3 linked regions of the Rhinolophus ferrumequinum genome follow. The protein of the gene in region 2 interacts with the protein of the main gene of each other region in a biochemical or structural test. Links are inferred from orthologs where the notes say so. Each region holds a gene or a part of one and is shown on either strand. Other genes may lie near its edges.

Region 1 (10,207 bases), on a different chromosome or scaffold from region 2:
CACACCCCCACTCCTTGAAGTGTCTGCAAATTAGTCCCTGTTTCTGGCAACCCTGGGCTTAGCATAGAATCCATAAATGTCAGCTCATGGCTCTATCTTACACTAAGTTTAAAGGTCAAGTTTAATTTTCACTGGAGTGTTTTAACTGATCGCAGCCTCTGTCTAAAGAAGTATCGACTGGACTTACTCTCCAGCGTAAAGGGGGTTAGATCAGGGAGGGACCACCCATTGGTTAGCCAGTCTCTCCACCTTGGAGTCCACAGCAGTGTAAGCTTGATCTGAATGGTAATAAAGACTTGGGGAGCATAGATTGGGGTCCTTGACTCCCGCTGACCTGGCAGGCCTGTGCACGCAGATTTCCAGGGCTGAGGGAGGACAGGAGCCATGACTCCGGGGCCTTCCCACACTCGGGGGTCCTGCTCACCTCACCTGGCCCCCACCAACAGCTCACACTGGTGCAGCCAGTCTGGCCCCTCTTCTTCTGGGATTCCAGTCTGGAGCCGCACAAGAGCCCCTCCTTTGGCCCAGCCAGGCAGGTACAGTTGTCCAGCTGTGCCTGACAGCAGGGCCCCTGCCAGTTCCACAGCCTACGCCTTCCCTGACCAACCCTCTCCAGCAGCAGTGCTCCTTACCTTTCTGTTAGGTGTCTTTAAGGAGCTGGTAAAAGTTATGCATCTGCTGCCCCGGAAAGGGCACACAGTGGGCTGGCACTGTCTGTGGGCAGTTTCCTGGGCCCCTGAAAACTGATCCCAGGTTAAGGGATCCTATCTGGGAAGGACTTCCCACTGGCAACCCCCATGTGCTCACTTCTCCTTAACCCTGGTATCCTGGCTCCTGTCCTAAGCCTCCCACCATCATTGGTGCTAAACCTAAATTTCTTTATGGATAATAATTGTTAATCCTAGTGAACGCTTACTACTGGCTAGATACTGTTGCAAATGCATTATGGGCATTAATACAGGAACCCTGGAGGTTGGGATAATTTGAATCACCCCATTTTACAGATGAGGAAATTGAGGCACCAAGAAGCAGTTAAGGCTCTTTCCCAAAGCTGCTGCCTTCCCCACATAGCAGCTGGTTTACCACCTCTAGTCCCATCCACAGTCTCCCTCAAGGCTGAGCCCATGCATGGACACTCTGAACCTGTTGCAGGTGCATCATGAAATGAACCCAAACAGCCAAAGGTGAGCTGCCCCAGATGAGTGGCCATCTGTAACTTCGAAAGTCTCCAAGCCTTTGTGCAGTCTGTTTCCGCTGCCTTGCACATTTCTTTTCTATTGCCTCTGCCAAACTCATTCATCCTTCCCGCTTACATGCTGCTTCCTCCATGCAGCCTTCTTGGAAACCAAGAGGAGGTTGGATGCTCCCGCCCCCTACTCCATGTGAAGTCTTATCCCCCAGGATTTTCCTTATCAGTCTGTACTGCCGCTTACTTCCTCCCTTCCAGACTGTAAGCTCCCAAGTAAGCAGGGATTATTAAAGTCTTGCTTTACTTTGTTTTAATTCTTTTTTGAAAAACATTTAAATTGATTATTAAACTATAACAGCAAAGTACACAGATCGTAAGGGTATAGCTCGAGCCTACCTAAGCCAACTTGAGCAAGTCACCTCAGCAGCCTTGACCTCAGAGCCCCTGAAAGGTCAACAACCTGTTAGCAGTGTCTTTGTGGAGGTGCCACAACATACAGTCTTCAATAAGACCCAGGCTCTAACATCAAGAAGACAATCATGAGGGAGTGGGGGTCAGAGAGCAAAACTGAGACTGTACAGCAGGGAACACCTGGGAGTGCTTCCAGCCCTCTGCTACAGGCTTCTAGAAGTTGAGAACAGAAGGTACTTTCAAGTTACATTATTCCATAGCTGCCTCTCTCACCAGCCGGCAAGCTCTACAAGTTTTGGTCCATGTATGGTTTTCAGTCATTCATTCACAAATAGGATTGAAGTGTCTCCTTTCCTCCAGCCACTATGCCGATACCTGGGGCATACAGCCGGGAAGGAGACAGACAAGGTAGGGGGAGGGACAACGAACGAGGCAAAAACCAAGGAGCAGGAGACATGTGGTGGCAAGTGCTGGGAGGGACCTGCAGCAGGGCCATGGGGTGGAGAGAAGCTCCTGGGGAGAGCCGGGCGCTAGGTTAAATGGTCACTGCAGACCTTGAAGTCCTCAGGAAGGAGGAGAGCCCAAGGGGGCCAGAGCAGGTGACAACAGGCTCCAAGTCCCTGAGGTGAGAAAGGACAGAGGGTGGCCTGAGCTGTGAGGGGAGGGGTTGAAGGGGAGGTGTGACGGGCTGAGGGCCAGTTCATGTAGTGCCCTGGAGGTCAAGGCAGGGGCTGTGGATTTGATCCTCAGGCTGACCGCGAACACTCAGAAGGCTTTAGCTCCAGAGGGCCCCGTGGAGTCTGAGTCACAGAGGTCGTCTGATGCTCACATACATAGGTTTGCGGGGCAGGGGCACGCATGGAAGGGGCTTGACTGTTAGTCGAGAGAAGGAATGAATGAACGCACGCTTGCAGGCACACAAGCACGGAAAGACGGAGGGACGTGCGCCCAAGAATAAACCGCTGTTCCACAGGGGGCCCCAGACCCAGCGGCCCGCTGGAGGCCCTGGGTCTAGGCCCGGCGACCCGGCGCTGTGACCTTGGGCACATCCCGGCCCCGACTCAGGGCCCGGAGCCCTGCCTCTCAGGGCGGAGAGGACCTGCGAGGAGGGCCAGGGCGCGCGCACGGCAGGAGGACGAATGGTGGGACCGCGGCCCCAACCCTGGTCCGACTAGGCCGGACCGCGGCCGGGCCCGAACCCTCGCCGCCAGCCGTGTTTACATCCGCCCGGCGCCCGCCACGCGGCTTTTTGCCGCTCCAGCGCGGCCGGGCCCCGCCTCGGGCCCACCCTCCGCCCCGCTCGCCGCAGCCCTCCGCCGCGTCCGCCCGGCGCGCCCCACCCTCCGCCGCGCGCGCCGGCCCGCCTCCCGCGGCCCGCCCCGCGCAGGCCCTGTCACTGGGCCCCGCCCCCCGGCCCCGCCCCGCCCCCGCGGCCCGGCGCCTCTGCCGGCCTGCGCCGCGGCGGGCGGTCCCGAGGGCGGCGGCTGGGCGGGCCCGGAGCCGGCGGGGCGGGGCGGAGGGTGGCGGGAGGGCGCGAGGGCGGGCCGGGGGCCGGTTCCGCGCGCAGAGATTTTTAAATGTCCCGCTCTTCGCCGGGCGCAGGAGCAGCCGGCTCGACCGCCAGCGCTGTGTAGGGGGCAGGCGCGGATCCCGCCACCGCCGCGCGCTCGCCCGCCGCCGCCTCCCGCCTCCCGGCTTCCCGCTCGCCTCTGCCGCCTGCCTGCCTCCGGCCTCGGCGCGTGCCGCCTGCCTGTCGCGGACACGGCTTCGGGTAAGGGCCCGCCACGGGCTGCGGACGGCGCGGCGGGCGAGGACTCCCGGAGCGCCCGGGCCGGGCCGGGGTGAGGGTGGGGGTGGGGCGAGGCAGGGTCGCCGGGTGCCCGGAGGCGTCAGCGCGGGGTGCCTGGGCAGGGTGGCTCAGAGACGGGCTAGGAGGGGAGTGGAGGGGAGACCGAGGCAGCGCGGGCGCCGAGGGAGGCGATGGGCCGGCAAGGGTTTCCGGGGCGTCCAAGCCCCCCCACCCCGGGTTCGGGCCCGGTATCGCGGGCTGCTGGCGGCGCCGCGGGTGACAAGCCACCCCGGGCCCATCGGCCATTTTCCCGACCGGCCCGGGAGGCTCCCGCCGCCGCCCGCGCGGGAGGGGGAGGGGTGTCCGGGGCGGGCCGGCGGGCTCTGGTCCCCTCCGCCGGTCGTCCTCACCCCAATGCCTGCTTCGTGCCCCCCAGGCCTGAGGTGTGATTCCGCGCCCTGCGCCATGCCGAGGGAGAGGAGGGAGAGGTGAGTGGCCCGGCCACTGCGGGGAAGGGAAGGGTGTGCGGCGGTGGGGGAAGGGTGGGCCCTTCTCCGGGGACAACTCACCCTTAACCTCTGTGCCACCCCGGCTTTGCAGGGATGCCAAGGAGCCGGGCACCATGAAAGAGGAAAGCTGCACCGATGTCTCTGTTCGCTCCAGGAAGAGGAAGGCAAATGTGGCCGTTGTGAGTACAAAGGAGACAGGTGGGGGAGGATTGCCCCCTCATCTTACCTGGGTACCAGGCTGGGCTCTGCCCACATTATTGATGGAGGGGTACGGTGAGGGGTGGTCCGGTTTGCAGAAATCGCCCTACTCTAACCAATTTGCCCATTCCCTAACCGACTTTCTTTTTCTTCTCTCTTTTGTGTTTTTGTCTTTGGGTTGTTTGGTGTGTTTCCTTGGGGATGGTTTTATGTTAGTTTTTGCAAGATCCTGATGAAGAAATTGCCAAAATTGACAGGACTGTGAGAAGCCAGTGTGGCAGTCAGGTAGGTTCACTTGCTGACTGGGACTCAGTAGAGGGCCTCCTGCTTTTTCTGGGCCCGTGGGTCTCCTATTGCCTTGCCTCTTGGGGAAGGGTGTTTCCCTATGGCTGAGCACCACGCCTGTCAGTGGGCACTGACCTCTGCCAGTCTTGGGATTCTAGGAAGGTCCTGTGTTCCAAATATGTGCTGATGTCTGGAAGAACCAGAATGGACATCAAATAACTCAGTTCTCCCCTTTTGCCCTTGAGGAAACTGACACTCAGGAAGAAGTTAACCCCGAGCCCTGTGCAAAGCAGGGGTGCTGTCTATCCTACAGCCTTGTCTCTATTCTGGCAGGGGGGGGGGGTTGGGATGGGGGAGGGCTCCTGACACAGCTCTGTGGGTAACTGTGATAATGGGGGTTTGTGTGTGTTCATAAGAACGGCTTCTCCCCCACCCACATTTGTGTTTTTTTCCTCCTGGTGCTCAAGGACCTCCCTGACCCCTCCTACTGCCTTTAAGTCAGGTTTAAACCCGCCCTGCCCCCCCTTCTGGAAGTTTTTCCAGCCTCTCCAGCAATTACCTACAGTGTGGTCACTGCTGTCTGGGGCTCGACCTGGCCTCCGTCAGAGTATTAGTGGAACATTCTGTGTAATGATATGTGTGTTTCAACACTTTTTTGTTGACTATCTCATTTCTCCTGCCCCTCCTTCACGGACTTCCCGCCAAATTTCCTGCATGCTCATGATATCATTATAATATCAGAAGTTCCTGGCAGAAAAAGCGTGTATTATCTGTCTACCTCCAGAAATGACTGGAGACTGTAGTTACGGCTCCAGCAGGGAAAGCAGCCTCTCTCCAAACCGGCTGATTAGGCCTTCTGACCCGAGCACAGATAAAAGCTGAGTAGGAATAGAGCCTGGGCTGCACGCAGTGGTCCTGACCAGGTGGGCAGTGGGTGTGCATCAGCCGTGGCAGCTGAGCGTGGGAGAGGGAAGGGCTTCGAAGTACTGGGCCACACTGTGTGCCACTGCACGGAAGACCCTAGTAATTAGCATTTGTGGGGCTGATGATTTCCTTCTCTCTTAGAAGAAAAAATACGTCACTTTAGGAAAGGAAATAAGATAGTGCATCCCAAGTTCCTTCTTTTTCTCATTTTCAAACCAAGCAAGTTGATTTTTGTGGGTATGATAAAATGGACCTCTACTTTGTGAAATGCAAGATTGGTTATTTGCCCAGCTGTGTTTTGAATTGAAATTTCCAACTGAGGTGAAGCAAAGCTGTCCATGTTGAGTTCTTGGTGCTTTAGGTAGTTTCTGTTCTGACGGATCTCCCGAGTGGCACCTGGGCTGCTAAGATGGAGCTGTGGCGCAGTCCCTGGCCTGTGGAAAGGTGACAGTCGTGATATGTGAATAGCCAGGTTATTTCTCACTGGAAGGCGTCTTCATGGTTGTCCAGAGATTAATGACAACAGGTTTCTGCACGTTTTGTAGATTAGATAGCTTAAAAATTATCCACCCATTTATGGAGCAGTCGTCTTGATGCAGACTCATGAAGCCAGAAGTTTAGGGTAACACAGAGCCTTTCTGCCTGTTAACTACACAGAATGGCACCATTATCATAGTTCAGCCTAGTACAACAGCCTTCAGTGACTTGTAGCCATCATGCCAAGCTCCACGTAACTGCTTCATCAAGACCACAGGGAACCGTTGAGTCTTACCCTGGACCTGACTTAATGAAAAGAATACCCTTTTGTCTAAAGTCCACTTCATATATCCATTTTTTGCATGAGATGCAACTTTTTGTATTGAAGTGGAATCATGGACTTTCTGTTAGTTACTTCTCAGAACGTAATTTTGCATAAGGTAGTTGTATTAATTAAAAGTGGCATCAGGAGTCGGGGCAGTTAGGAATCGTCGTGATTGGTCTCTTGCTATTATCTCACTCCTCCCTAAAGTCTGATCTTGCTTCCTTTGAAACATGTACACACTCCAAGTTATAGGACACAGACTTATACAACGGCTCCTGAAAAGGCCAACTTTGGGAACCATGTGTCTGCTTGTGGGTTTGTGAGCTGCAGGCTGGAAACTGCTACCAGTTCGTCTCCAAAGGCCTGCTCTCAGCTCTCCAGCCGTCCAGCTGTAGAGGGTGGCACCCAGCTTCTGCCTTCAGAGCTAGAATTCATTCTTGAATGAAGAGCAACTAAAGCAGTTGTAACGTGACCCTTTTTGAGTCGAGGAAATGCTCCCAGCACACTGTGCTGGGACTGCAAGAGGAGGCTGCCGTCCAGCAGCTGTTGGCAAGAGCTGTCGTGGTTAATTTGCATGCCCAGTTCTGTGCAGGACGCTGGAGAAGGGCTCGGTCCTGCTTTGCTCTTCTCAGGACCCTGAAAGTGCTGTGGCTTCCTCTGAAAGGGGCCAGTGTGCTGTGACAGCCATCCTGTACCATGTTTTTCAGATAGATTTAGAGCCAAGTTTCCATGATCATTTATGGTCATCTCAGTTGTCTCTTCTCTAGTGAACATTAATGATTTCTCTGCTTTCAGAAAAAAAAAAAATGCCACGAGTGTCAGACTTTCAAAGTGCTTCCACGCTGGCAAGATTGTTATCTGCCATATCTTCAACAAAATCACTATTTTATAATTTACAAAATCAATCATATACAGACAACAGAAAAGTGGTTACCAGGGGGGCGAGGGGGGTGAAGGTAAAGGGGGTCAGATCCATGGAGATGGAAGGAGACTGGACTTTGGGTGGGGAGCTCACAGTGGCGTACTCAGATGTGTTATAAAACTGTACACCTGAAATTCATATAAAGTTAGTAACCAATGTCACCCCGATACATTTAATAAAAATAAATCAATCAGGCTTCTTTTTACACTAGGACAATAAACAGTAGCTTTAAAAAGAAAATTTCCTAAATGGCAAAATGACCTTGGTATTTTCCAGATACTGAAAGTTGAATAAAAGTAAGTATCTGGAATCTTTAAAAGAAAAGCCTTTTGGTCTATAAAGATGGTTTATTCACTTAGAGTTGAGTCTTACTCAGGTGTAGGGCTTCCGGGGCGGGATTCAGAGGTCTTCAGGGGTAGCTAAGCTCTGTCTCTGAAGTCGTCTTAGTGTTAGGTTCGTGCAAAAGTAATTGCGGTTTTTGCAATTTTTTTTTTTAACCTTTTAAACTGCAATTACTTTTGTACCAACCTGACAGAACCTGTGACCATTACTTGATTTGGTTTTAATGGGGCAGATGTTCTTTTTGTCTTGTTTTGAGTTAAGGAAAACAAAAAGTCCCAATTATGTAATGTATTTGGCTAGTCCTACAACCAAAGGAAGATGTCACATTTGATGTGACATTTTGTTTTAAAATGGGGAGACTTTAATCATAGGTGGCAATTTACATTTTTGATCTTTTATACTTATGAATGTGGAGTGCTTATGTAAATACTCCTGTTGGAAATTCCAGCCACTTTCAAAAAATTTTTATTTCTACTTGATAAAAACCAAATCTTTGAGTTGTGACTACGTAATCGCACAATACACTTCAGTAGTCATTCCCAGTGTCTTCCTGAGCTGCAAATGTATTTGTGTGTATATATATTTTTTGGTAATGTAAAAGCTGTTTGCATTTCATCTTCCCCCTCCTGCACCCATTTTGCTGCTCAAGCACCACGTATGAGAATGACATGGGAGCGATAAAATGCTGCTGACTTTGTAGTTTTCTTAGCTATTTCCCCCATGGGCTCCTAAGCTGTGACAGAAGGGAGTGAACGCTCACATGCAGGGGCCATTACTACGGCTCTTACTCATCCACGCCATCACCATCTTAATTTAGGCCAGAATATCTATTCAGGCCTGGGACTTGCTCTCCAGTGTGAAGACATGTTTTGAATTACTGGCTGCTCTACAAATCAATGAATGTAGAAAGAGCTGCTTTGCATCAAACGTGTTTCTCCTTTCCAGCCTTGGGACGGTGATCCAGTGTGTGAAAGCCCCTGCTCCCTGATCCCCACACCTGACAAAGAAGAGGATGAGCTGGTGTACCCGAACTCCACGCGCCAGCCTCACAGCGGCAGGCCTGCCCGAGCCTCTCCCCTGCCCGTGCTGAAGTACGCTGCTGCCCAGTGCCGCCCGTGCCCCCGCGGCCGCTGCTATGTGTGGCTGCACCTGACCCCTCTTTTGTTCTTGTAGCTGGGCAAATCGAGAGGAGGTCTGGAAAATCATGGTAAACAAGGAAAGGACGTACTTAAGGGACAAGCACTTTTTACAGCGGCACCCTCTCCTGCAGCCGAAAATGCGGGCCATTCTTCTGGACTGGCTGATGGAGGTGAGCCACTCTCCCTGTTAGTGGGAAGCGCTGACCCTTTCCGGAATCTTCTGTGCTGTCACGACCTCCTCGTGGGTTTGATCCCATTGGCACATTCTGAGTCTCTGAAGCTGTGGTACATATACTAGCATGATTGAACATGGCTTGCATTTGTGCTTCAAAGAATTTCTGGAGTTTCTTTGACCCTTAGATATTTTTAAATTGGCATCTAATGTTTCTCATCAGAGTTTCAACAGTTGCAAAGGTCTTTTCCAATTAACTGTAAAAATTGATATTTGATCTTTGTTGATTAAGTTGCTTTTAGACATACCCAGCGGAATGCAGGTAACAGCTTTTCAGTAGCCAATATTATAAGTTTTAAAAGTACATGAACAACAAATAGAAGAAAACGAAAAAAATGAACAAGCTTACCTTGAACAGAAATTGTACATTGTTCCTTTTTAACTAACAAAATGTATCAGTCAAATCTTTTATTGACCACCGTCGCACTTCTCTGAAATAATTGGTCAAAAGAACAAGTATTACAAATTGTGATCGATAATTGTTAATCATAGAAAAGTACTGTTGTGTGGGTCGTGCACCTCTTTCATGGGGGGACTGGGGGGGGACTCAGCAGTGCCTTGCTTAGGGACACTTCCCAGACACCTGTAAGCCATGGGTGAGTGAGAGAGGGGCTTTCTTTGTGACGTAGAAGGTCATCTCACCAGATGGGTTTTACGAAGGAGTCCACGTGGAGGATGAATCTGCGTACCCCTATTAAGCCAGTTGTGTTGTGCTCATCCTAGAATCAGGTTCCCTCTGCCACTTGCCATCTGTGTGCCTTAGACCAGTCACTCAGCTGAGAGCCTTGGTTTTCTCATCTGTACCATTTTCTAGTGGTATTTTCCATGCAGAGTTTGTCTGGATTACAAATAGTGTATATGAAGTGCCGCTTCCGTAGTAGGCACGCAAAGGTAGCTGTTTTTATCATTCTTACTTTGCTTTTCTTCACTGATCCCTGGAAATGTCAGTGTCAGCGTTTTCTGTGCTGGAATCCTTGGCAGGGCCGTGTAGGGCGGCAGCCCTTGCGGTCGCCCAGCAGGCCCCGTGGCACGCGGCCCTTCTGCGCCCTTTGGGACATTGAGTCCTTGCAGCACCAGAAGTAGTATGATTCAGTCTCAAGCTCCAGCCCGCAAGGCCCTGGGACCGAGAGGTTCTATTTTACATAACGCAGAGGGTTCCGTCGACTTTGGACAAATACGTTTCTCTGAAAGTCGATTAAAACTGTCAGTAATAGCACTGAAAGGCTAGGAAAGAAGGGTGACCTTTATGTCGGTGAGGGGCTGACTGGAGTCCACAGCTCGCAGGCAGGCTTGTGTGTAGCGACGTTAAGACGTAAGTTCCTCGGCCCCCAGCCCACCCAGGACGTCCACACGGAAACAGTGATGCCTGGCTATGTACCTGCTGTGAGCTGGGGAGCGGGGCTGAGTTTGTTCCTCAGAGACCAGGTCTAGTTTCACTACTAATCGGACTATCGTCGTGTTACTT
Region 2 (10,207 bases):
TGTGCAAAAATACACTCAAAGGCAAAATATACCTCTGACCACAACAATGGTCCTAAGACTATTCTTCAAATATTAATGTGTATAGGTTAAATGACAAAAATAAAAGAAGAAAATGCTAAAATTTTGAGAGAAATAAAAATTCAGTCCCATATCATTATAAATGAAAAAGAGATTTAAAGTTATTATAGGTTGGCATTAACACCACAGCAGCAAACGTAGATTTCACTCAAAATCAAAATACTAGTTCATTCCAATTTAAGCGCCTGACATGTAGGCATAGTCCACTTTTCAAAATACCAGTTCTAAAAGTCTTAAACATTTAAAACCCAACTCAGTCTTTTACCAATCACCAAGATAACACAGAATATCACTTTCAAACGCCTTTCATAATTAGCATGTTATGTTACTGACTTGGAGTAACTGTTTCCTAAGCATTTTATGGCTGATAATGGTTTCTCAAGCTAACCATACTTTAAGAGGAAAATTTAGAAATTAAAACAATTTTGAAGCATTGAAGCATTCCAAATATTTTCAAAAAAGAGAGATAAGGAAAAGAGGAGGAAGGAAGGAAAGAAGGAAGGGAGGAAGGGAGGAACGGAGGGAAATTGGTAGCAATTGAATAGACAAAAATTTTATCTGAGATTCTGAAGTGGAGTGAAAAATTTCCAACTAGAAGTTAATGATTCATCAGAATCAGACTGTTAATTTAAAATGTGCACCTTTACTCAGCTATGTGAAATAATAAAAAGTAGGAGACAACTCAAGATCCTAATAATAAAAAAGAATCAGAACTACATGTGAGTGATGAAAAGTCAACAATTATTTACGCTCCAATCAAAATGTACATTGCTGAAGATTACCGTTATTCTCATGTTTAAAGATTTCAGGTACAGGTAGAATTCAGCTTAGGATACAGATAGAACACCACAAGAAAGGTCATTAAGAATGTGGAAAAAGTCGTTAACTTTTCTTGAATCCATCTTCAAAAAATGAGCTGTTTTGGCAAACCAACCAGGTGAACTGAACTGTACAGTGTGACTGCCCTTCCGACGAAAGACGGACACAAAAAAACTTTCACCTTTGGCAAGGCATGAGAGGGAGAGGTAGCAACCACATAAGCAGGAAAGAAGAAAACAACTGGAATTGTAATGGAAGATTTCAGGTAAAGAGATTGTAAGACTTATTTTGGTAATTAGAGAATAATCCTTAGAATCCTTCCTAGCAAGAAAATGATTGTTTTTAAAAAGGAATAGCTAATGTTTGGTGTGCGTTTACTAGATTCCAAGGATGTGCTAGCATACTTTACTGAATTAAACCTCATAACCCAGTAATAAAGGACTGTTAGTATCCTATTTAACAAAGGAGAAATAGCACAAAAAGGGTCAGAGCTGGGATTCAAACCCAGGCATCCTGCCTGCAGAGCCTAGCTCACAATTAGGATACTACAGTCTCTTCTACAGTCCAGACAAACTTTCTTAATTTCAACTGTTTAAATCGTTTATCTTGTTCAGGTTTCATAGTGAACAAATTACAAACATTCTCCTATTAATTATTCCCTTAGATATATCAAGGTAGAATGCTAAGAAAGTCATGTTTAATACAGAAATTAACCAAGCCTTTTTATCTTGCAGGTCAGGCTGCCATGACTTAAGGATAATGTATGCCTCTAATCTATGCGGGAAAAGTAGGAAAGAAAACATAGATAAAATGAGAATTGGGAAAGAACCCTTCTTGGTCTTTTGTTCCCCTAAGCTAAATAACATTAAAAAAAAATAACTAAAGGAATCTTTTTTAAGATTTACCTCATGCTATTATGGAGCTAAGAAAAAAAGCACACCACCCTTTTATTTAAATAGAATCTCTTTTGTCATATTTGATTTTCAAAAATACTAATATATTACTGAATATAGATACAGCTTAGAATCAAATGTAATTTCCACTGCTTTTTGGCCTCTCCTGTGCCGACAATATTGACCACCTTGTAACTATGCACTTTGGATGATAAACACTTTCCCAATTTGCAAAGTCACTTCGTATTCTATCCTAAACTTAAAAAGAGTACCTGAAATTACTCACTTTAATGTTATTTGCAGACATTAAAAAATTAGTTCATCTGCCCTAAATACTGATCTAGTAATTCTACTTCTAGAAATTTGGTATACCTCTTTTACTAAAATGGGACATGGGTGTGCTGAGTAAGACTCAATGAATACAATTAATCAGGAAAATAATCCGTATCAGTTGCAATCACAATGTAGTTTTTGAAAACACCAGACATCAATCTCTACATAGCTAGTAATCTTATGTCTTCAATGGATACAATTCCTTAAACAAAATTACATGTACCAATTTAAACTTTTATTTACTATATTAAGAGAACAGCCATGATTAGAAGGAATGCAGAAAAAAGTATTCCCATTTTGGCAAGCTAAAATTTTTCTGTGACCAGGGCAAACTATTAGGGAAATGGCTATTCTAGAATTTGAAGACTGAATTTCAAAGTTGACAGGCTCTCTCTCTGAAGTCCTATACAGGACCTCATGTCCACCAATTCAGATATTTCAAATATTCTGAGAATTAAAAATGTTCCCTAGCTCTCAGGCAACTAATAGTTAAATCGTAGCACAAGAATATTTCTCATCTTTAAATTTAGAATCACCCTATTAGACTTTCCCACTTATCAGCTCTATTTAAAGTGGTCTTTTCATGTCAAATTTTTGTTTATTCTTATTATGGCATTTTAAATAGTTTTGTCTTACTTATTCTTTCTCCTCCATTAGTTTATAAGCTCCATCTTGTTCAATTTCCTGAAGGAGACTATTTTTTTTTTGTTAACAATAATTTCTCTAATGACTTGCAATTTTAAGTGAAAGGATGTAGATTTCAAACTAAGTCAACCGCTTTTTCCTTAGCCAAAGTAACAAAGACAAGTTTACGGAAAAAAATCAGAATATTGTATTTAAAAATATTTTCCATATAACACTAGTTTAATGAATTCTGAACATTCATTCTAGTTAGTCTTAACCTAGTTTCAATCCAGATGAATTTGTGAACAGATCCCTTTTCACAACAATTCCACCTCCTTTCAAGAACAAACTAAAGGTTCATGAATACCTTTCTGTCAAGAGTCGGTATTTACTTTTCAAGCTAAGAACCGAGCCCCGAACAAGCACATACGCGGGCAAAGGAGGTTTAATTCTAGTACAAAGTATATCAGTTAAAGAAGTAAGAAGGTGTGTCATACAGCATAGTGATGTAATGTTTGTGGTGACGCTGGCCTGCTTACTGGTGAACTTTTTAAATCTTTTCCATTTTTATTAGGGTTGGAATTTATTCCCCTTCTCTCTTCCACTGTTTACCCGGGGTCACGGTCATAGTATCGCTCGCACAATGGATTTCGCACGGTCATCCTACCTGGAATATGGCACACCCTCTACTCTAACCGCCTCCCTTCCAAACTCTCCTCCGGGGAGACAGACTAAAGGCAGCTCCCTTTCGGACCGCGGCGCAACCGGACGCAGGCGGTAGAGCGAAAGCCACAGAATGGCTTTGCTGGTGGCCCTAACATTGCACTGTAAAGCCCTTTGCAAACACACAGGTACCTTATCCGTGCCGGTGCTAGCATTTAGGAGACTTGTCAAGGCTGCAAGGGGATGTGCAGCTTTCCCACGGTACACAGGCATCACTGTGCTCTCCTGCTCCCCTAGAATTAAACAACCTCCTCTCGTTCGCACTGCGCTTTCATTTACAAAACGCTTGCACACGCGTTATCTAATTTGACCCTCACTCCAAGCCTGTGAAACGAGCGTTGTGGTCGTCGTGCCTATTTTACAGATGAGGAAAGGATCCAGTCCACAGACCCAGTCCTATTAAGGGCCGCAGCTTCCGGGCAGAGGCGAGCAGGTGCGACGCTCGCGGCTCGCAGCCTCTCACCTGGCCGGCGGGCTGGGCCACCGCCTCCACTCCGCTGCCGAGGACGTGGGCCCCGCCGCCGCGGCCGCGGCCGCTCGGGGTTTTCGTAGTCCTGTCTCCGCCTACGCCCGGCCCCAGATCCCAGACCCCAAAGTGCTTCACGCTCTCCCCTTGAGGCTCACCGTCCGATCTCCCCAGACAGCGTCTGGAATGACCAGGAAACTCCGCGTCCGCCACAGCCTCCAGGATCTGGGACCCACGCTCCGAGGCGATGGTAGTGGCGGTCACCAGAAGGCCTGCGGGTTCCCGGGAAAGGAATACCCGGTCCCGGTCAAACGGATGACAAGTCCCAGTCAGCCGAAGCGCCGCCCGCTTCCGCTTCCCCGCCTATACCTTGGGCTGTTCAACCCCGCAACCGCGGGGGATTGTGGGTATCTCGAAGGCTGGCAGAGCTGCAAGGGAAGGAAGTAATGTTGAGCCAGCCGGACTACGCGGCACGGCAGAGACTACAATTCCCAGCAGGCAGCGGGGCCGCAGAAGGCAGCCGCGGAGATCAAGTAGACAAGCCCTGCGCGCGCGGCGGGGATAGAACGTTGCTAGAGTTGGCGGGTCTCGCTGCTGGGGGCCGGAGCCACAAGCCTTGGACCGCCGCGCGCCAAAGCGGGAATCCGGGAGGCTGGCAACTGCAATTAATGCATGCATTTAAAACTCCCGAACCTGTGGACGCCATGCACAGGTAACTCGATTACAAAAAGCAGCAGGGCATGAATGGACTGTCTTAATTCATTTAGGCCATGGATACTGTATTGGGCTTTCCTGCTACCGTTTTGAATTGCTGTATGATTTCCCTCCTTCGCTTGTCTGTTTCCTCCACTTTAAGAAATTCCTGAGGCCTTCTGCATGATCGTAAATCAAAAGGCCTTTTCGATTTGTTCGGTTATTTTATCTTTCATTCTTGGGAACTTGCCTGCGGCACGTAAAGAATGCAATTCTGTTAGTTGCTGTGAAAGTTTTCTGCATTGCATAACTTGCAGTTTCCTTTAGGCCTACCAGTTATTATGGGTGTGTTTCTGAAAGGAGCAGGGGCTATTGTGCATTTCTACAGGAAACACCTCCAGGAGATTCCTGACCAGAGTAGCAACGTTACCACCAGCTTCACGTGGGGATGGGATTCTAGCAAGACTTCTGAACTGCTGTCAGGCATGGGGGTCTCCACCCTGGAGAAGGAGGAGGTGGACAGTGAGAACATCCCCCAGGAACTTCTTTCAAACCTGAGTCACCCGCAGAGCCCCCCACGTAAACGGCTGAAGAGCAAAGGGAATGACAAGGACTTTGTGATTGTCCGCAGACCCAAGCTAAATCGAGAGAACTTTCCAGGTAAGGGTAAAACTGTCAGTCACAGAAGGGGTTAGTTGAACTATTTTGCTGGTAAGCCTTGGTTCAGGGGTCTTTAGGCTGGGGCCCTTTAAAAAATGCCTAATTCTGAAAGAAATGGAACAATTCATTGTCGCTGAAGTCTGTAGGAATCTTAGGTATGTACTATCATCTACTGCACAATCGATTTTTAACCTATGTGAAATTTTAACCCATGAGAAGACAGTCTGCCTTTTTCCTTAGAAAGGAATCTGCCGGCTCAAAAGCCAGCTAAAAGCCAGATAAATGGGAACACAAGCAATGATCTTGTAGGACTCTGTTTTTATTCTGCTGTTCTATAGTCCTGGTTGAGCTTTTTGCCATCACGATCTGTCAAAAGACTGCTAAAGTGAATGTTAAACTAAATGGAATTTTAAGACTTAACCCCCCCCAAGTCCACTCCCAAATGGGATTCTTCTGGTATGCTCTGTCTCCATTCTGTAATGGAGACAGAGCATTATTTGTTCAGTGACCCAACCCAGAAACCTGAGGGTCAGTCATATTCCCGCCATCCCCCAACATCCAACCAATGATTGAATTTTTTCCCTCTTGTCTCCTAAATATTTCCTAAGCTCTCATCATCACTGCCCTGAATATTTGAATCAACTCATTATTCCAGCCTTGTCCTTCCTAGATCCATCCCCCAGAGCTGGAGTGGACTGACTGAAATGTAGAACTCACCATATCATTCCCCTCTTAATTATCATCAAAGCATAGGGTAAACACAGTGCTTTGCATTGATCTCAGGTTATCAGTTTTTCTTGCCGGTAAGCCATTTAAGACATTCATTCAGCAAGTATTTGCTGAGTACATACTATGTGCTTGGCATTGTTCAAGGTGCTAAGGAAAGAGCAATGAGCAAAGCATAAAGATTCCTACCCTTATGGAGCTTCTGTTCTAGAGAGGACATAATAAACTTGCTAAATATGGTATGTGGTATGTTAGAACGTGATGAGTGCTAGTTATGGTGAAAAACAAAAACTGAACAAGCCAAGAGGGATTGGAAATCCTGGGGTGGGAAGATGGATTGCAATTTTAAACAGGGTATTGAAGGAAAGCCTCGCTTGGACAGTGAGCTTTAGGCAAAGGCATAAGGAAGGCGAGGGAATGTGCCATGCAAGTATCTTGGAGAACAGAGCCCTAAGCCTAAGGACAGCCAGTGCAAAGACCCTGGGGCAGAAGCATGTCATGTTTCTTCAGGAACAACAAGGAAGCCATTCTTCAAAAGTGAGCAAGGGGGAGAGTAGTGGGAGATCAGGCTAGAGGTGATACTGGGCAAAGTTGTGATGTGACCTTTTAAAAGATGCACTGATGTGTGGAGACTAAACTGTATGAGGTCAAGGGTAAAAGCATAGAGACTTGTAAAGAGGGGGGTGGCCAGATTCTGGATAGATTCTTACATTAATAGAGTTCTGGATAGATTCTGAAATTGGAGCTGATAGAGTTGCATGACTGTTGAAATTGTTGAAGAGCAATCAGAGTGTAAACTGGAATTGGGTGGGTGATGGTAGAGAAGAAGAAACAGATTAGAGAAATAAAAAGGAAGTCTTGCAGAGCCAAGGTAAATAAGTATATTCCTAAATTCTCCCATCTAGCTTTCTTTGCAGAAGGGATGCTTGGTTGCTTGCTTTGCTTTAAAAAAAAAAAAATCTTTTTTTTTTTTTTTCATTTTTCAATACTTTCTTTAGGAAAGAGAATCTTCAAGCTATGATCTTGGAATCTATATCAGGAGTGGGATTAAATAGAAAGGCAGTAAAAAATTGTGGTGAAGTCAGACAAATCTGAGTTTGAATCCTTATTCTGTTTATCAGCCTTTGAAAGTTATTTGAGCTCCCTGTGCCTTAGTTTCTTTGAGAAATGGACAAATAATACTCACGTCATAGGTTGCTGTGAAGATTAAATGAAAGAATGCATGTAAAGCTCTTACCATGCTTCCTGTATATAACAGTCAGTAAGTAAATCCATTTAATTTGGTCAACAAAATGTATGACATCCATTTTGGAGGTTACTTCACTTGTTCTTTGGTCATTAATATTGTTAACCTGACCCTATTAGTGTAGTTTTTTTTTTTTCCTTCAAAATTTAATGTCTCTGTTTTATTTAGTGTCTGGAATGCAGCACTAGCAATTTGATGTTTAACCAACCAAATGTAATAAAAAGACACTTCCTGCTAAACGAGCAGATGTTAATTTGTCCAATGCCGAAAGCTTTTAACGAGGAGTGTGATTTCTGTATGGCCTTCCGCATTCACATACACAGTTGTAAATAAAAAAAGACTTTTTTTTTTTTAAGTAAGGCACTGTGGAAATAAGACAAGATTAACGGATGGTTGCTGTCTTCTAGGCAATTACAAGTCAAGTTGAGGAGGAAAGAGAAACTCACAGCAAAAGATGGCAGCTAGCAGCCAATGTGTGGTTCAGGCAGCGAGTGCCATAGGAGGACAGAGGGAGAGAACCGCCTGTGCCAAAGTGACCCTAAGCTTCCCAGGTGCAGAGGGTTTCCTAGGGGAATCCCCACTGGATGTGGACAGTCTTCCTCCTTCCACTCAACAAAAGCAGAGGCTCTGAGAAAAGGGAGAAGGATCTGGAAGTGGTCCAATCAGAGACTAGATTGTTAGAATTGACTTCAAATATATGGAGGGTGCCAAAAAATGTATACACATTTTAAGAAAGGAAACAACTGTATTAAAATTGTAATACTCAATATATACCAATAACAAAATATGAATACAAGTCATATGTATACCATTTTTTGTCACCGGTGGTATATATGTAAAGTGAGAAAGAAAAACTTGTGAGATTTGTTTTTATCATTATTACCTAAGAGAGAGAGAGAGGCAGGGAGGGAAACTACCGTGTTTCCCCGAAAATAAGACCTAGCCGGACCACCGGCTCTAATGCATCTTTTGGAGCAAACATTAATATGCTTGTTCAAGGTAAAATAAGTAAAATAAGTAGTAAAATCTTATAGTAAAATAAGATCGGGTCTTATATAATATAATATAGTATAAGACCAGGTCTTATATTAATGTTTGCTCCAAAAGACGCATTAGAGCTGGTGGTCCGGCTAGGTCTTATTTTCGGGGAAACAGGGTAGTATACATTGTACGTGTGTGGAATTACACGCAATGAGACTGGTTAGTTGGTGTGGGTGAGGGGCACAGAGATGGATTCAGGATGCAGGAGGAAGACAGCTGGTACAGAGGATTCCCAGTGGGCCTTTAGGAGCCCACTCCAGTGTACTGGATCGTCATTCCAGGGAGTTTTGTGTGCAGTTGTCAGGACAGGTGGCTAACAGCTCTGCCAGGATTAGGGTAGAACAGGCCACACCTGCTATACATAGAGATCTGATGACAGTGGCCCTGGGCCGTGAGTTTTTCTTGGTTCTTCACTCAGCAGTCTCTCCCTGCAGGCTCCAAGCCAGGCTCACATCTGGCCAGTAAATCCTTTTTATCTGTTTATTTTGGAAGATAAAAACTATGTGGCCAACTGTACCAGGACAGGTCTGATTGGCCCCTGGGGTGTGTGGAGTTGGGAAGAAATGGCCAGTAGCAAGGTCATCAATGGGCAGTAAGAGGACCTGCATTTATTCATGGTCATGAAATGCCTGTCCTGGTCCCCTGTCTTCCCCACGTCCCCCTCCAAACAGGATGGCCATGAAAACACTGGTGAACTAATTTGTGGATCAGCTCTTCCATGGCTATTAAACTGCTTCAAATTCCAGACCCTACGCTGGTTCTCAGACTGGAGACTCCAGAGTTTAGAGTATGCTGATACCCCCAAGGGAACTTGTTCAAAGTGCAAAATTCCTGAGATTCTGATCACGAAGTTCCTGCCTTGAGCCTGGGAATCAGCTTTAACACCCGCAGGCAAACATTGCCTCCACTTTTTTTTTGTTTTAACCAATAAGTTATATATTTTGCATTGCATTCCTGGTGTGTATCTGAAACAGAAATATCACTAAACTATGTTTCCCCTTAGTAAGATATTTCCTATTCTGTTCCATTCCATTCTTTCAAAAACATTGCTGATCAAACTAAATTCATGTCCTGACTCACCCATGAATCTCAGCCTGCAGCTCCCAAAACTCAGCTCTGTTAGAACCTTTATGGGACCCTCCCAGGAATCATTGTTTGCTCTGTAGCTTCCTTTCATTTATTCATTAAGCAAAGATTTATTGAGCATCATTCTAGAGATTAGGAAGACAGCAGGGAACATAACAGGCAAAAGACCCTGCTGTCATAGAGTCTATACACTGTACCTTCTTCTCCAAATCCCAATTTTCATGGTTTCTCCATTACTCTTCCCACAGCCGTGCATAAGCCAGACTCTCACAGAAATCTAGGGTTCTGAGGCTGAGGGGCTTCATTGAGGAGCTCTGTTTTTTGTTTTACTATGTTTTTCTTTTTTCAGTTTTGCCCACCTACCCAAAAAACAAACAAAACAAAAAAATGAAAAAAACCCATATACGAAGAGCTAGCATAGTCTAGTGCTTTCTCTTTATGATTTGTGGGAGGAGGGAGGAAAACGCATCTCAGATGGCAGAATCTGTTAGGTAGTAGTAGCTTCCCAGAAAGGAAGTGTAAGAGTTGCTACTACTCAAAAACAAGCTAGCAAAAGCAAACCTGAGGAGTAAATATGGAGTAAATATGTCCAATGAGAGGAGTTACCGATCGTGCAAAGATGTAATGCACAGAAAACTCTTCAATAAGAGGCTCTTTCCAGAGGAGTGTAAGAGGTGTGAGCAGTGAGGAGGTGACCGGAGTGGACAGCTGGGTTTGTACCTGAGGGATACGTGGAAATGGTGACGGCCTAGGGTCATGACAGCAGGTTTGTGAATCCAGCCAGCTTTCTCCCGTTCATGGCTCAGAAGTATGTTTCAC
Region 3 (10,207 bases), on a different chromosome or scaffold from region 2:
TTGTTGCTTAGAATATGTATTTTGTCAAGTTAGTTTTAATATTTAGTAGCTTTATTTGTTAAAATGCAAGTAAAATTAAGTGAAATAAGTATAATGCAGTGTGGGGTTATATACATGAAGAAACCTGGTGTGAAATGACTATAATCTATGAAGCATTAAAATTTAGGCTATATTTTACACAAATAATTTTTAGGTTTTTTTGCTATTGTGAAATATCAAAATGCAGCATTTAATATATTTTTAGGCAAAATTTAATAAGGGATATATATATACCATGTCAGTTTACAGTCCAAAACTCATTTTGTGGGGTGGCTGGTTAGCTCAGTTGGTTAGAGCATGGTGCTGATAACACCAAGGTTGCTGGTTCGGTCCCTGCATGGGCTGCTGTGAGCTGCACCCTCCTTTAAAAAAAAAAGCAAAAAAACGAAAAACTCATTTTGCTTTGGTGGTAGAAGTTGGGTATTTCACAAATTATACTGAAAAAGAACGAGAGCAAGAGGAAAGGAAGGACCAGCTTAAGAAAAACTTTATTTTTTGCAATCTTTACATAAGACCTACTGTACATAGCACACTTGTTTATTTATAACATCTTCATAATCAGGTGGGATACTTAATCCTTAAAAAAAGCTCTGCAAGGTAGATGGTGTTACCTCCATTTTTTACACTTTTTAACTGAAATCTGAGAGTAAAGAATTTGTTGTCGCATAGATAAGTAGAGGCAAAGCCTGCAGAACCTCCTCACCCCAAAATGCGTGCTTTTTGCACTATGTCAAGTCTTCTATAGAGTCAATTAGTGTCATCAATCTACATTTATCCTTAAGCCTACCTGATGAATTTCTTTTATTACATCGAGGGACTTGCTCACAAACTGTAATAATAATATCTAATATCTTAGTATTTACTATATGGAAAGCACATGGTTTTTTATCCTTATAGCAGCCTAGAAGATGGGTGGTGCAGACCCACTGTCTCTTATCACCACTTCCAAAATCCAGAAAACTTTGAAAAACAAAGCTGTTTTTCGTAAATCACTTGGCTTGATAAGTGAGTCATAAATCAAATCTGACTTGATCTGAATTAATTTAATGACAAAATCTCACTTAAACTGACATGAAATTATTTATAGTCTTTTTTATTCCACTTAGTGGGATTGTTTATGCATATATTTTGTTGCAGAAACATTACTATGTTTTGTTATCAAATGCTGTCATTCACTCCCCTTCAGAATTATACCATATGTGCTATATTCTTTTTATTATCTTCCTAAACTGAAAAACTCTGAAACATACCTCCCACCCAGGGTTTTGGGTAAATGGATTGACAGCTTGAATCGTTTCCATTGTACATATGAGAGAACTTAAAGGTGAAATAATTTGCCCAGATCTTTGAACCTAGGAAGTCAAATCCCAAGAATGGTCAACATATTGATGGAATATTTTAATATAAATAAACTTGTGAAGAACAGAATTTCTACAGTATGTTGAAATGGTCAGCTTGATGGATAAAACAAACCTTTTGCTGTGATGTTAAATACACCGAGAGCAGTTCAAGACTGGACAGTGTTTGTCTGAATTAATAGCTTGTAACCAATTGTTAAGAGGGTTATTAGCCAACTGATTTATATTTTGAAACTTGCCTTTAAAATTCTCCCAAAATAAATATTTTTTAAAGCATCAATCCTTTCAGGTTTGTGTATAAATAATGGAATTACAGGTGCTTAGAAATAGAGTCTCAAGCAATCATTCACTTTTATTAAGTACTATGTCATTAATTAGAACTAATCAATGACAGGAAATTAACATTTTTTTTTATAGGCATGATCACCGATCTCTTCATAGATAAGTTCAAGTTTAAAGGCACCAATGTGAAAACCAAAGTTCCTCTTTTACTGGAGATTCTGGACAGTTATGACCAAAATGCATTGATTGCTTTCTTTGATGCTGCATGAAATATAAACCAGGTAAAGTTCCAGAGAAGTTGTCTGTTTAAAAGTAAAAGCTAACTATATATACTTTCATTTCAAATATTTTTAAATATTTTCTAAAAATATTTGAGATACAACTTTTTTTTAGTAATGCTATTTCTTTTGACAAATGCAACTTTTTAAAAATAGAGAGCATTTTTATTTTTAAAATACAAGTGGAATGATTATAAGGTATCCTAATGAATTTTTTGCAAGTGAATGTTTTAACTTTTATGATGATAAATAATATTTGGAAAATAAAAATACATTCAAATATTTCACAAGCTCTACCCACACATTATATATATATAAACTGCTTTACAGTTTTCAAAATGTATTTGCATTCGTTTACCTCTTTTGATCTTAACTGTATTATTTTGTCAAATAAGAAAACTGATTCTCACTGAGGTTAAGTGAAGAAGACTGCTCTTATTTTGTAAAGCTGGGACGAGAACCCACATACTAGTGCCTGGTTTGTGTCCTGGTTACCATATATGCTATCAGCCAGTGGAAATAACCTACCAGTTATTTTTCCTAGGAGTAGAGATTGACTTGCAGTTGATTTCACTCTTGCTTGGTAATGAGCATCGTGACCAGTGCTCAGTTTGTAAGGTGCTTAAGTTGGCTCAATGCTATTAATTGTGGTCAAAGAAACAAGCAGAGCTCGCACCGATTGGGGGTGAGGGGGACTTGAATTCCATGTGCTGTAACAAATAGAGCTAGACCAGTGTGCATGTGAATAGTGCACAAATAGTGATGGCTTCTTAGATTTTCCTGCACTACTATCCACTCATTTCCTTTTTATCATGTATGAAAGGAAGTATGACTTTAAGGCTACAGAAGTGTTATTCATTAATCTTAATTCATGTTTATTCATACTCAGAGGAATATTGTATTCAAAGTTTACTTTAAAATGGCATAAAGATTATAATGGAAAATCAGCTATTCTCTATGTTTTTAAGAAGGACACACTCATGAATTTGTCAGAAAACAATCGTGCTTAATTATATACCATTATATTTATTAGTTATGTACAGCCTTGAATATTAAATGTGAAAATCTGTTAAAGGCACTTATCACTAAGAGTTTTATTTTAATAAGGTCACATATTCTACTATATTCAAACAACCTTTTCTAAATGGAACACATAAATATGTCACTAGAATTTCACTGGTGCTTTTTGTTGGCTGCTACATCGTGGGTTAAAATAGATCAGAACTGATGACTAGTTGAATTTCTTGTAGTAATTACTATTTGTTATATGTATCAACAGTAGTTCACGGTGGCACCTCAAATTAATTGCATCTTCATTAGGAACAATAAAAAAGCATCTAAATGGTAGATGACATAATCTGCCATGTATTACATGTTATTACATGAGCAGCGTGTTAAATAATTTATGCATATAATTTAATCCTAACGACAACAGTATGACGTGTAGATATTAACAATGAGCAGATAAGAAAACAGATTCGGAGACATTGAATAACCTTGACCAAGACTACCAGACCAGTTAGATTTTACACTTTGGGAATCAAGTCAGTCAAAGCCTGGAGGTCCCTGGGCTAAAGGCTGGGGCGGCCCACCAATCACGGCTCAGGTTTCACTGGTTAATCCTAGGGGCAGCCCTGAGCCCAGGGACCGCCCCGTGGCTTCATTTAAAGTCACGGTAAAGCCAGGCCCCGCCTCCCGCCCGGCGCAGGCGTTTTTCCTCCCGCCGCCGTCCGACATTGCCCCGCCCAGCCCCTGCTCGGTCGCCTGCGCGGCCGCCTTCACTCGCTTGCGACGCGTCGCCCCGAGTGACGTCACGGGCCCCCGGCCTTGATCATTGGCTCATTTCAATAGTCGCGGGATACTTGAACTGCATGAACAGCCGCCTCTCCGGCGGGCTGCTCGCTTGGTCTCGGTGGTGTCCTAGGCTCTCCACGCCCGGCGGTGCCAGCCTGCGCCTTTCATAGCCTCCTCGGTTCTCAGCGATCCGAGTGGGTGGGTGCGCGGGCGGGCTGGCCCGGGCTGCGGCAGGCGGCTACGGCTGGAGCACTGCTTGGCGCGGCCGGACGGCGGTACCGAGTGCACGCTGCTTGGCGCTGCAGGCTGATCCCGCCGTGTCCTTGGGAGCAGTGATGTTGGGCACTTCTGCGGCCCGCGAGGCGGGCTCGGCGCTGCTAACATTGCAGCAGACGGCGCCCCAAGAGGACCAGGAGAACATCAACCCCGAGAAGGCGTCGCCCGCCCAGCAGCCCCGCACCCGGGCCGGGCTGGCTGTACTGAAGGCCGGGAACCAGCGGGGTCCGGCGCCGCCGCAGAAACCGAAGACGAGACGGGTAAAGAGAAGAGCGATATCTGCAGGAGGGTGGGCCGAGGGTTAGTTTTGCAAAGGTTTAGCGGGCAGAGGAGAGGGGCGAGAGCATCCTCTGGGCTTTTTGTTAGGGAGGCCTGGGCCTGCAATCCCCTCGATCTCTGGTTTTGTGGCGTGTGGGATGCCACCGGCGTAGTTCTCCCATTACTTTCCTGGCCATCAACTGCATTGTGCTGCCTGTCTACTCTCGATTGGGGGTATTTTTCTGTAGATAATGGGGTCAAACCAAGCTCTACAGCATGACTGTGGTCTTTGCCCGCCTCCGTGCCTTTCTCATAGTTTTTAAACCCCCGGCTGGCTCTAGGACCTGGACCTGCTGCCGCCTTCCCACGCGGCTAAGAGGTTACTTCTACCTTAGAAAAGGATATAATAAATACTCTGTTTTTGCTAAATTCCGCCATTTTACCCGATTTGCTCTGTTGCTCCACCCTGGGGTGAAAGTGGTGAAGCAACGCATTTTTGCCATCTCTTTCCTAAACTTGTCACCTTTCAGCCACTCCACCCCTCTTGTGGCCTTGATTAGTTTCTCATAATTCCACTTGGTATGACGCTCTATAACCTTTGCATAAATGCCTGTGACACATTGGAACATTCCTTTTCTTCGACTATTCGAAGTTCGTTGCCTGGATTTTGCCGCAGTAACTTTAATTTTCCTGATAGAGTAGTTGGGAGTAAAGCAGAGGCTGAGACCCAGAAGGGGAAGAAAGCAAAACTTCATTTAATAGGCTGAAAATCAGTATCCGTTTCTTTTTAGGCTGCACCTCTTAAGGATCTTCCTGTAAATGATGAGCATATTATTGTTCCTCCCTGGAAAGCAAACAGTCAACAGCCTGCATTTACCATCCATGTGGATGAAGCAGAAGAAGAGACTCAAAAGAGGCCAGGTGAATCTAAAAAAACAGAGTGTGAAGATGTCCTGGCGTTTAATTCAGCTCTTACTTTACCTGAACCAAGAAAACCACTGGTACCTCTTGATTACCCCATGATGGGCAGTTTTGGTAAGTTTTAATGAACATCTGTATCAAATCGATGTAATCATAATTATTAGATAAGTTGGGTTAATGATATTTCGCATTTTAAGGCATCTTACCTGACCCTTACTACATGAGTTAGGCTTAATGTCACAAGTTTAGAAAGGGTGTTTTATCTCAGACCTCACAACTAGTACATGACCTAGTGACCTACAAAAAAGAAATAAAATCCTAATTGACCAGTGTTCCTTCCAGTACACTGCCAGTCTCATCAATTTAATTAGAGCTCATTGATTTTAATCTGACCCTGGAAATGTTTGCTCTGTTGGGAGAATAGATTTCAATTGTATTCATCAGATTCACTTTGTTCATACCACTTCAGAGATGGGTATGCAGCTTTCCATATTGTGATATCTACTAACATCTCTTGAGCTTTAAAGTTTTGTTTTGTGAAAGCATATGAGCGATCCTGTGATACCAGAGAGGAACACTGTCCTGTGAGTCAGCAGCTGAACCGTGGCTCTTTGTCTTAACCACACATCAGAGTAGCTGCTTTCGACAGTTGTGCCTGCAGTTTGTGCTGCTGCCTAACCATAGGGCTCGAGTCCCTGGACAGCTCACTGAATCTAGTCTTTTAGTTTTATTGATGAGTGGGGGTCTGGGAGGAGCAGGAAAGTCTTTCGGAATTCAAAGAATTTGTGTATTTTTATTTAAAATTTGCAACAAATTTTAGCCTCAAAGTGAACCTTGAAGTGAAAAGAAGAATAGATCTTCTTTGCTTCAAAAGATAACTTAAAATTACAAAAGTGAATCACTTGTTGATTACAGTGTTAATTTGTTTATAGTGCCCATAATAAACCTAAAAACCGAATTTTCTCATTAATACACTTGTTAGCCCTGCTTCCACTTAATTTGTAGGTTGTGCTTTGAATATGTCGAGCTTTGGGATCTGCAAATTCTTAGGGCAAATCCTATGTTATCTCAAAACCTGGACTTTAACTCTGTCCTAACGGAACCATCATGTCACCTGTTCTTGTCTCATGGAAGTTGAATGATACTTCAACATACATAATACATGATCCTCACATTTATTTACCTGTTTGTGGCCTATCAGTATTTTTTCTTGTTAGATAAAGCTAAGTAGACAGAGATACTAAAACCGGAGTGAAATAAATATTCTTTGTACTTTGTCATGGGAAGCCCTTTTTCATCACGTGAAATATATGCTTTCGTGGTGTGGGACTTCCTACAAGGGCAGTGACTTTTTAAATTAAACAGTGAACTTAATCGTACTTTTGAATTCTCCCAGAGTCACCACATGCTATGGACATGTCAATTGTACTGGAAGATGAAAAGCCAGTGAGTGTTAATGAAGTACCAGATTACCACGAGGACATTCACACATACCTCAGGGAAATGGAGGTAAAGGCTCTCTGAATCCACTTTTCATACTGTTAATCAATGTCATGAAATGAAATTGAGAGGGAAATGCTTTGAAGTTTTTTAACTGCCAATGAATTGCTCTAATGCAATACTTAGGTTTCTAGCATATAGCAGCATAGTTAATGATAGAATAATCTAACTGAAATGTTTAAATCTATGCTAAGTAACTTTCTCAACAGATTAAATGTAAGCCTAAAGTGGGTTACATGAAGAAACAGCCAGACATCACCAACAGTATGAGGGCTATCCTCGTGGACTGGTTAGTTGAAGTAGGAGAAGAATATAAACTCCAGAATGAGACGCTGCATTTGGCTGTGAACTACATCGATAGGTTCCTTTCATCCATGTCTGTGTTGAGAGGAAAACTTCAGCTTGTGGGCACTGCTGCTATGCTGTTGGCCTCGTAAGTCAACTTGGGTGAAAAGTGATCAGTACCTTTCTGTGTAGGGAAGAAATTGGGATTTTCAACAGTGTCACATTTAATATTACACAAGGCAGAGAGTCAGTGACTACTTCAGCGGTGACAGGTGTGGGTGAAACTTCTCATTTAGGACATTTTCCAGGTCTGGATTCCAGGGTACCTTGCTGAATGAGCATGGAGACTGGCTACATTTTAATACGCCAGGACTAGAGTACAAAGTTGAAAAGTGTGGTTCCTTCCATTAAAAAGTGCTTTCTGGAACATAAGCAAAATCTTCTCCCCATTAAAACATGAAAACTAAATTTTAAAACTGAAACATAAAACGTTTATTTTTCTAAGAAAAGTTTCTAAATTTTTAGTTACTTGGTGAACTCTGTATTGTTCCCATCTTGGAAAGTCTTGTGCCTCATTTATTTCCTTTGACTGCCCTGGGAGAAATAGCTCAAACGTCCTTTATTGATCTGGGTCTTTTAATTAGCATGTCCCCAGTCTCTGCTAGAAATGGTCAATTACCAGTTATCAGTAGAAACGGGCCATGGGTGGAGAACAGGTTTTGGACTCGTTCTGTGTATTCTGTGGATTTGTTCTGGGTTTCAGAATTGGGATAAACGAGCTTCTCTTTTAGGACTGATTGCTTGAAACTTTATTCATTGTAGAAAGTTTGAAGAAATCTACCCCCCAGAAGTAGCAGAGTTTGTGTACATTACAGATGACACCTACACCAAGAAACAGGTTCTGAGAATGGAGCACCTAGTGCTCAAAGTCCTTGCTTTCGACTTAGCAGCACCGACGGTGAATCAGTTTCTTACCCAATACTTTCTGCACCAGCAGCCTGCAAACTGCAAAGTGGAAAGTTTAGCAATGGTAAGTTCTTTTCATTTGGTTGAATCAAGATTCTTAGGTCATAATTAAGGGCAAGCCCTAGTTTCTGTATAGCTTTGGCCAAGGGATTTAGTATTTCGGGGACAGATTAATGCTGCAGTATGGCAGAAAGCCTACCATCGGCAAAAGGTAATAGAAATTGGGAAAGCATTAGTAGTGACCTGAGGATGAAGTCTGGGGAAATGGTAGGGTAGCCAGAAGAGTTGTTTTAAAAGTTATTAAAAGGAGGAAAATACGGGAAGACAATGGGACAAAACACTAGTTAATGGATATAGCTAAAAGATGAGGCTATGGGAATTTTTTCCTATGGTTTCTATACAGCGAGGGAAAAATTAGGTCAGAAGGCAGGGATTTGAGATTTGAATTCCTAGAGCTCTTGAGATCAAAAGTATATTTACTTTTCATTCCAGTTTTTGGGAGAGTTAAGTTTGATAGATGCTGACCCATACCTTAAGTATTTGCCATCAGTTATCGCTGGAGCAGCCTTTCATCTAGCCCTCTACACAGTCACGGGACAAAGTTGGGTACGTATGTACTACGATGTCTTCACAGCTACCTTGCCACTTACAAGCTTGTGCCACATTAAGTTTAGTAACTGTCGTGTACAGCTGATGGTTGTCTAGATGTACTGACCTGGAAAAACTGTTCAACTATCTACACTGTTAGGTACAAAGCTCAGGTATTGAATTTGAAAGGCATGCTTAAAGAATTCGGGCCTTATGACCTGCTACTAGCAGGGAACGTAGTAAGAATTGATCAAAGTCAGCATAAAAGAGATGGAATGGCTTGAGAAAACTGGAAGATCTTTTAGTTCGAGGTGTTAGTACTGAAATTCAACAAAACTCAAGCTCAGTGCTATTTTAATAGTGTCTGCCGCTAAAAACAACTCAGCGGTTTTCTTCTCCCTCCTCTAGCCTGAATCATTAGTACAAAAGACTGGATATACCCTGGAAAGTCTGAAGCCTTGTCTCCTGGACCTTCACCAGACCTACCTCAGAGCACCACAGCATGCACAACAGTCAATCAGAGAAAAGTACAAAAATTCAAAGTAAGAATTAACATGAATAGATTTTAAGAAGCTTGCTTTTCCAGGCTATCGTATGGTTCAGAGATCCTTGACATTTGAACTTTATTATTAAAGGATCCACAAATTGGGCACAGCCTCCTTAGCAGCTGTTCTCTTAGCAGGCCATGTGTTTGTCCTGCATTTGAAGATGAGGAGAGATGAATGGGGCATGCACATGTTTTGGGGACCAGGCAATGGTTTTATAATCATTAACTCAAACAGATAGAAATAGCATTTTTGAGTTCCTAGTATACATAATCATTCCTTCTCTCAATGAATGTTTACTAAAAATGTTTTTTTTCCCCTACTTGCAGGTATCATGGTGTTTCTCTCCTCAACCCACCAGAGACACTAAATGTGTAACAGTGAAAGACTGCCTGTATTTTCTAAGATTTAAATCACTCAAAGCATATTGTGTACAGTTTTTATCTTAGGTTTTAATTTTACAATCATTTAATACAAAAGTTGTGGTCAAGTGCAAATTATGGTATCTATTACTTTTTAAATGGTTTTAATTTGTATATCTTTTGTACATGTAACTATCTTAGATATTTGGCTAATTTTAAGTCGTTTGGTAAAGTATTAATGATGCCAACTGTCAGGATAAGAATTAATAAATTGATTTGGAAAACTTGGTTTGTAAGTGAAATTTAATTTGAGGCAAAAATTTGACTTCAGGATTTCACTCAGAAAAATTAATTTGGTCTCTTACAGTATAACGGGGACTGGGAAGGCTTCTAAAGTTTTTTTAAATTTTAACTAGTCTCAGGAAAACAGACAAGTTTTGACATTCGCTTTCCTAAGCAACTGGACCAGTTAGCTAACTTGGGCGTAATAATCAAAACACATCTGGCATAAATCTGCTTATTTATAAGTTGTAATAACTCTTTCAGCCCTTTGTACACACTAAGAAAATGCTTCATTCCTCATCAACTTTTACACTACTGAAGTGACAATTATTCATAACCTGTTAAGTTCTTCAGAAGGTTTATTTTAAAGCATAATGTAAAAAAGTATAAAGAAATGACTAGATTTTATAATGGATTTGTGAATTAAAAAAATACCCAAGGTTGCTAGCACTTAAATAAATATCCTTTAATAG

What was found.
Region 1: the proteins of SKP2 (region 2) and CCNE1 form a complex in vitro, tested with the Homo sapiens proteins (2 studies listed by BioGRID, with this or other methods). The link is inferred for Rhinolophus ferrumequinum from reciprocal best matches to the Homo sapiens genes SKP2 and CCNE1.
Region 3: the proteins of SKP2 (region 2) and CCNA2 are reported together in a solved structure, tested with the Homo sapiens proteins (2 studies listed by BioGRID, with this or other methods). The link is inferred for Rhinolophus ferrumequinum from reciprocal best matches to the Homo sapiens genes SKP2 and CCNA2.

The regions. Positions count from the first base shown.
Region 1 is NC_046298.1:1,954,574-1,964,780, reverse strand, and holds the start of CCNE1 (G1/S-specific cyclin-E1), read left to right. Parts: upstream 1-3,202; 5' UTR 3,203-3,371; intron 3,372-3,825; 5' UTR 3,826-3,854; coding exon 3,855-3,877; intron 3,878-3,989; coding exon 3,990-4,077; intron 4,078-4,312; coding exon 4,313-4,381; intron 4,382-8,316; coding exon 8,317-8,462; intron 8,463-8,544; coding exon 8,545-8,680; intron 8,681-10,207. UniProt on the Homo sapiens protein: Essential for the control of the cell cycle at the G1/S (start) transition.
Region 2 is NC_046290.1:23,649,118-23,659,324, forward strand, and holds the start of SKP2 (S-phase kinase-associated protein 2), read left to right. Parts: upstream 1-4,454; 5' UTR 4,455-4,604; coding exon 4,605-4,648; intron 4,649-5,017; coding exon 5,018-5,289; intron 5,290-10,207. UniProt on the Homo sapiens protein: Substrate recognition component of a SCF (SKP1-CUL1-F-box protein) E3 ubiquitin-protein ligase complex which mediates the ubiquitination and subsequent proteasomal degradation of target proteins involved in cell cycle progression, signal transduction and transcription.
Region 3 is NC_046301.1:4,675,701-4,685,907, reverse strand, and holds CCNA2 (cyclin-A2), read left to right. Parts: upstream 1-3,819; 5' UTR 3,820-4,086; coding exon 4,087-4,287; intron 4,288-5,076; coding exon 5,077-5,320; intron 5,321-6,602; coding exon 6,603-6,715; intron 6,716-6,915; coding exon 6,916-7,139; intron 7,140-7,813; coding exon 7,814-8,021; intron 8,022-8,449; coding exon 8,450-8,563; intron 8,564-8,953; coding exon 8,954-9,087; intron 9,088-9,419; coding exon 9,420-9,468; 3' UTR 9,469-9,740; downstream 9,741-10,207. Other genes in the region: BBS7 (Bardet-Biedl syndrome 7 protein), read left to right, coding at 1,815-1,948. UniProt on the Homo sapiens protein: Cyclin which controls both the G1/S and the G2/M transition phases of the cell cycle. Functions through the formation of specific serine/threonine protein kinase holoenzyme complexes with the cyclin-dependent protein kinases CDK1 or CDK2.